2 linked regions of the Struthio camelus genome follow. Each later gene encodes a partner of the first gene's protein in a complex. Links are inferred from orthologs where the notes say so. Each region holds a gene or a part of one and is shown in the gene's direction. Other genes may lie near its edges.

Region 1 (3,904 bases):
TATCATTTCATCATTCAAGTCAAAAATGAAATTGCCCAACAAAGTTAGACCGAGGATAGCACCACACATATATTGTTTCTTTTTGATAGTCATCTATTAATAACTTCTCCCGCTGCACGGTCTTTCCGAGTAGCTTTTCATCAATCGATAGCAGCTTCATCTAGACCGATTTCTCCAGATAGCTTCTCAAAATGTCACAGGGTTTAATATCAGAAGTCTGACTTTGGTGGAGACGTTCGACATCTGTCACTTCACCCCGTCACGGAAGGAAATCAGACTGGTATGACATGTTGCTCTTCACCAGTCCATCTTAACCGCTTCTCGTCTCTGTTTTCTTCTAGGTCCTTTCAAATAATTTCTCTCATTATTTGAGAGATCTAATATTTTTCCAGAAACCGAAGCCACGTGTGCAGGTCTGTGACCGTCCCTTCCCCCTGTTTTAAAGCCCGGGGCTGCGCTTGCCCGCCCACCCACCCTCCTGGGCGACTGCAATTGCTCTCGATGGCAGATTTCATGAGCCAGGACCACCTTCGGTGGGACAGGACGATCTGAAACCACGCAGCTTTATCTCAGCTTAGTACCTTATTTTTTAATTACCGCAACTGCTAACGGGGTTGCTGTCCTGTTCCAGGTAACCTGCTGCAGTTTTTAAGCAGTTCAGCTTTGTCAGAGGCATGTTCAGACAGTTTTATTCCTCGGCTCATGGGAGAGCCACCAGCTTCCTCGGTCACGTTTGTACCACAAACGCGGGGAATCATTTTCCTTCGCTCTGACCATCACTTCTTGTCCCTCGTTTGCCCACTTCCTTTACGGCCTTGGCCTTTCCCGTTTTGCCCCCCCTCCCCGCGACATTTTCACACTCGGCCTAGGAGCCCCCCCGCACGGCCGCCGGCCCGGGGACTCGAACCCGCGGCTCCGCCAAGCGCGGAGCCGGAGTCCCGCCCCCCTCTGCGCTTGACGCCACGCCGGGCGGAGGAAGTTGGTCCGCCGCGAGCCACCGTCTGCGCGCGGCGCGGTGCGGTTCCCATCTGCGTCCGGCGGGGGACGGTGGCCCCGCAGCGCGGGAGCAGGAAGGCGCCTCCCCGCTCGTTCCGCGCGCGCACCCGTTTCCCTTCCCGTCGCTGCCCGGCGCCGCTCCGGTCGGCGGGGACTGCCCGGGCCGCCGCCGCCATGAGCGAGAAGGGCGAGCTGGACCTGACCGGGGCCAAGCAGAACACCGGCATGTGGCTGGTGAAGGTGAGAGGCCGCCGGCGCACCCCCGGCCCCGCGCGGCCTGTGGCGGCCGGGCCCTGCCCTGCCCTCCCCGGCCGGGCCGGGCCGGGCGGCAGCGGGGCCTCGGGCCCGCGGCGGGGGTTGAGGGGTCCCGGGGAAGCGGCGGGAGCGAGCCGGGGCGCCGCGCGGGCGCTGCGTGTTTGGGGCTCGGCCGCCTCGTTGGGGAGAGGGTTGGGGTGGCGGGGACTCAGCAAGAGAGCGCTTCCCAGGTGGGTGCTGAGGTGAATTAAGGAAAAGCAGGTGACCTAAGAACTGCCTTTTAGTTTTATTAAGGATCATAAGTAAGGTGCTCTAACTTTTATTTTCCCTCAGATCTATGAAATTGAGAACTTCCAAGTTTATATCCTGGCTAAAAACCAAAGGGAACTTTTCTGTGTTCTTTATGTTGCTCCTGTCACTACAGCCCACCTTTGAGGAGAGAAGCTTTAGCAGAGTCAGTGGGAAAGGGAAGAGAGCGCTGGCGTAAAGATCATCGAATCAAAACAAGCACCTTTTGAGCAGCAGGGCCAGTTTTGTGTGTGCTGACACTAAGTAGGCCATCACTTCCTAGGCATCAGCCTTATTTTCTGGAAGGTCCATCTGTCTAAATCACTTGACTGTTTTTGCCGACAGCAAGCTAGCATTGGCTCAGGAAAGAGGAGGCTCGCTAGCCACTGGGGGAGTATGTGCCCTGGCCTCCTTCTGGTCCTTTGTAGGGGTACCCCCATTTTTCTGGACCAGCATTTGGGAAGAAATGGTAACATCCTTCTCTTCTGCCTTTGGGGACCACTTGAGCAGGCCCAGAACAGCATGAGAGAACCCATGGAGACAGGGGAGGACCAAAATATTGGTTCTGGGTGGTGGGAAGGGTGTGACAGCATCTTTCTTCAACTACCAAAACCTGTTATTGTGGCTCTTGAAAAAATAGTGGGGAATTTCAGAAGTCCTGCAATGCAAAGCAAGTGTGGTGGTGGTGGTGCATCTGGTAGGTCAGTGCATCTGGCTTCCTCTTTCATAGTGATACCTGAATGTCTGGTTTTGTGAAACTCTGCACCCAGAACAATAAAAATGAAAACTGATAGCAGAAAGCTGCAGAAGTATATCATGATCGAGAGTGGCTGGTTGATGAAAGGGCAGATGAAATTTAAAGCTGAAAAAAGTAAAATGATATGCATAGAGAAAAATTATTTTAATTATTATACTTGCACAGTGGCTGGGTTTCATCTGCTTATTGTCATTCAGAAAGGAGATCTTGGGTTTACAATAGATAAAGATAGTTCTGCGACTGTCATGTCAGTGGCAGTCAAATAAGCAAATTCAACATTGGGCATTATTAGGAAAGAAAGACAACAAAACAGAACATATTATTTTAGCCTTATATAGCATGAATACAGTATACGGTTCCGTTCTTATCCTCCGCATTGTGAAAAATATATGGTAGAACTAGAAAAGGTACAGAGGAGGGCAACAAGAATGATCAGAGACACGAGGAATCGTGCCTCTGCAAAGACCTCCTAAATATGCTAATCCAGGCTGGAAAGATGAGGGATCTGGAAGTCTGATAGAGGTCTATAAAGTCAGGAGTTGCAAGGAGAAGGTGAATAGAGAAGAATCAATCTTAACACAAGAATTAGGAATGTGTCAAATTAGGGATGCATTAGGTGGGGGTTCAACGCAAGCATTTTTGCACAATACATAATTAAGTTTGGGAACTTGTTGCAGTAGGGTGCGTGAACATCAAAACTTTGCACAGGCTCAGAAAACCATTAGGCCGACTTATGCAAGAAAAGGGTACTGAGATATTAAAAGTGGAGATGTTCCCATTCCTCAAGAAGTGCTGAGGCAAAACCCGCAGAAATTGGAAGAGCGTAGTGGGGAAATACCTGTTCTTCTCTTGTTTTCCTGCTCTTCCTGAAGTGTCTGCTGTTGGCCACGTTGGAGACAGGGTACTGAACTTGATTATCTATTAGTCTGGCATGGGTTAGTCATTTTTGAAGCGAGCCAGGAGTTTTCAGGCATGTCTGTGCTTATAGGGGATATCGTTCTGTGAGCACAGGATGCTGCCTAGTTTAATGAGAAAGCTGGGCTAGCAAGAACCCTTAAATATTTATTGTTCTTCCAAGTTGATGTCTAATATTCTTTCAACATAACCATGCATGCACATGGTCTGAATTTACAATTTGGCTGTCTTCTGGCATATTTAAAAAAAAAAGAAATTCCAAAGTCAATACCGTTGGTAGACCATAGGAAGGTGCATGCAGGTTTTTGTCCTTTGGATTCCTCTGGATCTAAACTTGGAAGCAACGGTACTTTTTCTCTTCACTAGTTAGGATAACTAGGCTGAATTTATCCTTGCTTTGAGGGAGAAAGCAATAACATCTACTCCAAAAAAAAAAGCTTATTTAATTTCCTTTTAGCCTGTATTATGCTAGCCCAGGAAGTACTCCAGAGAGACTACTTAACAGACAATAAAAAACCATAGTGATGAGTAGTTTGGGAGCATGAGCAGTACGAGGAAGTACAAGAGATAGGGTGAGTCTCTTTTGTACAAAACTAGAAAGCAACTTGAATAGTTTTTTTTCTGTATTTTCAGGGAAAACTAGGGTAGGGAAATATTATCAGAATTCTTAGTTATACACGTGTGTGTAAAGTA
Region 2 (3,904 bases), on another chromosome or scaffold:
TGACTACTTTACGGGTGCTCACCAGCCCCCCTCCCAGCTGCCCTTTAGCCCGGAGGGCATCCCCGATTCACAGGGAGATGGCAAGGCATGCAGATCAGGGAGGACCAGATCGCCTGCTTCCCAGAGCGTGTGCGAGTCAGCCCCCTCCGCGCTGTGACACGCGGCGGCGCCATGAGATGGGCAAACGCTTCACAGGGGGCTCGCACTGCCCCGGGGCGCCAGGCAGCGGGGCCACAGGCCGAGGCTGGGCCCAGCGAGCGAGCCTCCCGCCGGGGCTGGCTGTCCCCCACGTGCCCAGCAGGACCTCGGTCACAGCAGCCCTGACCTGGCCAGGGTGAGACGGTGGCACGGTCGACGACGTCGGGGGCGCGGGACTTGCAGAAGTCGGAGCGCAGCAGGGCATTGAAGAGCGTCGACTTGCCCGAGTTGGTGGCGCCCAGCAGGTAGACGTCGCCGGCGCCCCGCCAGGAGCGCTGCAGCCGGCTGACCAGCCCTTCGAGGCCGAAGCCCGTCTTGGCGCTCACCAGGCAGACGCCCACCAGCGGGGCCCCGCGCAGGCCCGCCTGGGCGCAGGCCGCCGCCACCCGCCGCCGCAGCCGCCCCAGGTGCCCGGGGCCGTCGCGGGGCAGCAGGTCCACCTTGTTACCCACCACCAGGACGCCGGCGGCGGGGGTGGCCGGGCTCAGCAGCGCCGGCAGCTCGGGCAGCAGCGGGTCGGGCAGCTCCAGCACGTCGAGGAGGTAGAGGAGGAGCGGGCCGCGGCCGTGGCGCGGCGGGCGGCGCAGCGCGGCGCTCACCACGAGGCGGTGCCGCTCCGGGGGCAGCGCCAACCGCAGCGCCCGGCCGTGGTGCGCCAGCAGCCAGCAGCGCTGGCACACGGCGGCGCGCAGCCCCGCCGCTCCGCCCGCTCCGCCCGCCAGGCTCCGGTACTTCTCCGCCGGCAGGAAGCCCGGCGCCGCGCCGTCGCGGCACTGCAGCTCGGCCCCGCAGCCCGAACAGCTCACGCCGCTCGGCGGCACCGACGGGTCGGGCAGCCCCGCCGCCGCCGCCGCCCTCGGAGCCCTCCGCTGCCGCCGCCGCTCCCCGCCCGGCTCCGCCTCCCGGTGGGGCGCCGCCGCCTCCCACCGCACCGGCTCCGGCTCGTACTCAGGGAAGACGAACTGCTCCTCCTCGCCGCTCGCCGCCGCCGCCCCCCGCCGCGGCACCGGCCGCCAGGCGCGAGCCCGGGCCAGCCCGCCCGTGAGGGCCCGGCCCAGGCGCTGCATGGCGCGGGCGAGCGCCGCCGCCGCCACCCGCCGGCGGCCACAGGCTCCGCGCGCTCCCACGCGGCTCCGCCCCGCCCGCCGTGCGGCGGGAAGAGGAAGGGCGTGGGCGCAGCAACCGCGCATGCGCCTTCCCCCGCGGTGCTTCCGACGGGGCGGGGCGGGGCGGGGGAAGGGAGCGGGCCACGGTTCGGCCCTGCGCGAGGCGGCGGTGACGCCTGCTAGGTGTGTGCGCGAGGCGCGCAGGCGCCTCCCCCTCCGTCGGCGGCTCGGTAGTGGTGGCCCGCGCTCTCTTCGCCTCTGTGTCGGCCGCCGCCGCCTGCGGCCTTCCCTACTGCCGCCGCCATGTACGACGCGGACGAAGGTGAGGGCGGGCGGCCGCTCCCGGCCTGAACCGTTATCCTCTTCGGCCGGCCCCGGCGGAGGGGCCAGGAGAGCCGTTGGGCTCGCCCACGGCCTACCAGGGAGGGTGGGAGCAGGAGAACCGTTGGGCTCGTCTACGGCTTACTTGGGGGCGGGGGGGGGGAAGAGCCGTTGGGCTCGGGTCGCGCACTGCCCGCTAGGGGGTGGGGGCGGGAGAGCCGTTGGGCTCGCGCGGAGTCCGCGTTTGGGGCTCGGTGCAGACGGGGGAGCTACCGGCGCCGGCGTGAGGGGCTTCCACAGTCTCCTGCGGCCATGGGCGCTGCCGGGGTGCCCCTCTGCCAGTCGTATGCCGGCCCCGCGTTAGTAGGCAAGTAGAGGTAACGTGGATATCGAAGTCTAACTTGCACGTTATGCTTCCTGGACAGATATGCAATATGATGAAGATGATGATGAAATCACTCCTGACTTGTGGCAAGAAGCATGCTGGATTGTTATTAGGTGACTTTCTAAAATTCACTGTTCTTTACGCTTTGGGTCTTAAAGGTAGTATCTAGTTTGCTAGCAACACGTGATGGAAATGCAAGAATTGTTTCTACTAAATAATATGTTTCGTTACTTTTTGAACAGAAGGGCTTTAAGCAGAAACAGCAAGGTTTTGACTGCTGGCCCTGTATATACACTGTTAGGGATTAAGAAGCCCTACTTACTCTCAGTTCAGCTAGGCTATCTGAACTGAAGTACGAAATTATTTTGATCCCAAATCACGCACATCATCTTGCCCGTTACTCTCGCAGTGCGTGCTGACATTAGGAGATCAATACTTAGCAGTTTGCCATATTAGTGTTTTATTAGTACTACATGAAGGCCCAGGCTCTGCAGCTTCTTGCGCCTCTGAGAGAGTGGAAGGCTGTGTGGAACTAGGCAAAAAGTGTTTCTCTTTGTGTCTTAGAGCAGCAGTTCCCAAACGGAAGGGCGTACCTGCAGCGCTAGACCTGTAGCCTCTCTGGGTAGAGAGTAGGGATGAGAAACCTCGGAGGCAGAAGGAGGTCCTTTCTCTTGTCTGGCAGCCTGGTGATGAGCGTTAAATTTATTCTGAATCAGGTGGGAGGGAACTGGGACAAATCCTTCAGCTGGGGCTAGAGCTCACTCCCAGTAAGGATTTAGGTTGCCCTTTCCTTCCCTTCCTCCTTCCTTTTGTGCAATGGCAGGCTATGCTGACAGGGTGCACTGTGGCAGCGGCACAATAGGCAAGGCTATGTTTCCGTTCTTGGAGAAGCCTGAAGTCACTGATAGGGAGGTAGTTGTTACAAGTTTTCTGCAGAGGTCTTGTAGGTGAAGGAGCAAAAGCTGGAGTAAGTAAGGGTTCCCTGGCTGGCTTCAGGAATGCAGGGTCGTGGGAGGAGAGGAGCTTGCTGGCAGGAGCTAATGCAGTGAACGTGTTTAGATCATCCCATTAGAAGCTAGGCTGCGAGCTTGGCATTCGGGCTTGGATAGCTACAATTGGAGTGTTTTGGTAGGTGAAACAAAGGTTAGACGGAATCCAGAAGCTGCTGGAAGGGGTGAAGCTGGAAATTTCTGTGTGGCTGGAACAGAGGTGATCTGAGCTAAGAAAAGTTCTGAGAACTGTTGTCTTGAATGAGGGGCCTACAATTGTATGCTCTCAGTTTACTGCAGCTTGGGAAATGATCTGCAGCAAAGTAATTTGTCATGTGCATTGTAGAAGATATTAGCTGAAGCTACCTTTACTGAGGTTTTAAGTCATCCTGTTTCACTTCTAATTTGAGATAAACTGTGCATACAGCCATGGCTTAACCAAGAAGGGGCAGCAAGTCTGTCACTTTGTCGTGTCTATGCCTTCAAATACTGAGAGAAAAAATTTAAGTTTTTAACAGTCCTGAGCAGCTGTGTTTGAAACTTGTGCCTCAAGAAAAGTCAATGCTTGTATTTTGATATTGTATTCCAGGACTCCTGAAGGTTTGATAATAAACAAGTCTTGAACTTGTCGATATGTGGAGTACGTGAGTTAACTTAAGAGCTCTTCTTGAATAATATACTTTTTTTTTTTTTAGCTCCTACTTTGATGAGAAAGGCCTAGTCAGGCAGCAGCTGGATTCTTTTGATGAGTTTATTCAGATGTCTGTGCAGAGAATTGTTGAAGATGCTCCACCAATTGATTTGCAAGCTGAAGCCCAGCATGCCACAGGAGAAGTGGAAGAGCCAGTAAGTGGAGACCCTGCAGAGCTATTTTGGTTTTGCAATGCAAAATGATTTTCCTTTAT

Evidence for each region.
Region 2: GTF2F2 (region 1) and POLR2B share a complex: the UniProt entries of both Homo sapiens proteins name them as parts of the TBP-based Pol II pre-initiation complex. The link is inferred for Struthio camelus from reciprocal best matches to the Homo sapiens genes GTF2F2 and POLR2B.

The regions. Positions count from the first base shown.
Region 1 is NC_090942.1:190,911,261-190,915,164, forward strand, and holds the start of GTF2F2 (general transcription factor IIF subunit 2), read left to right. Parts: upstream 1-968; 5' UTR 969-1,170; coding exon 1,171-1,236; intron 1,237-3,904. UniProt on the Homo sapiens protein: TFIIF is a general transcription initiation factor that binds to RNA polymerase II and helps to recruit it to the initiation complex in collaboration with TFIIB.
Region 2 is NC_090945.1:3,516,232-3,520,135, forward strand, and holds the start of POLR2B (DNA-directed RNA polymerase II subunit RPB2), read left to right. Parts: upstream 1-1,402; 5' UTR 1,403-1,607; coding exon 1,608-1,626; intron 1,627-2,050; coding exon 2,051-2,123; intron 2,124-3,694; coding exon 3,695-3,845; intron 3,846-3,904. Other genes in the region: NOA1 (nitric oxide-associated protein 1), read right to left, coding at 326-1,265. UniProt on the Homo sapiens protein: Catalytic core component of RNA polymerase II (Pol II), a DNA-dependent RNA polymerase which synthesizes mRNA precursors and many functional non-coding RNAs using the four ribonucleoside triphosphates as substrates.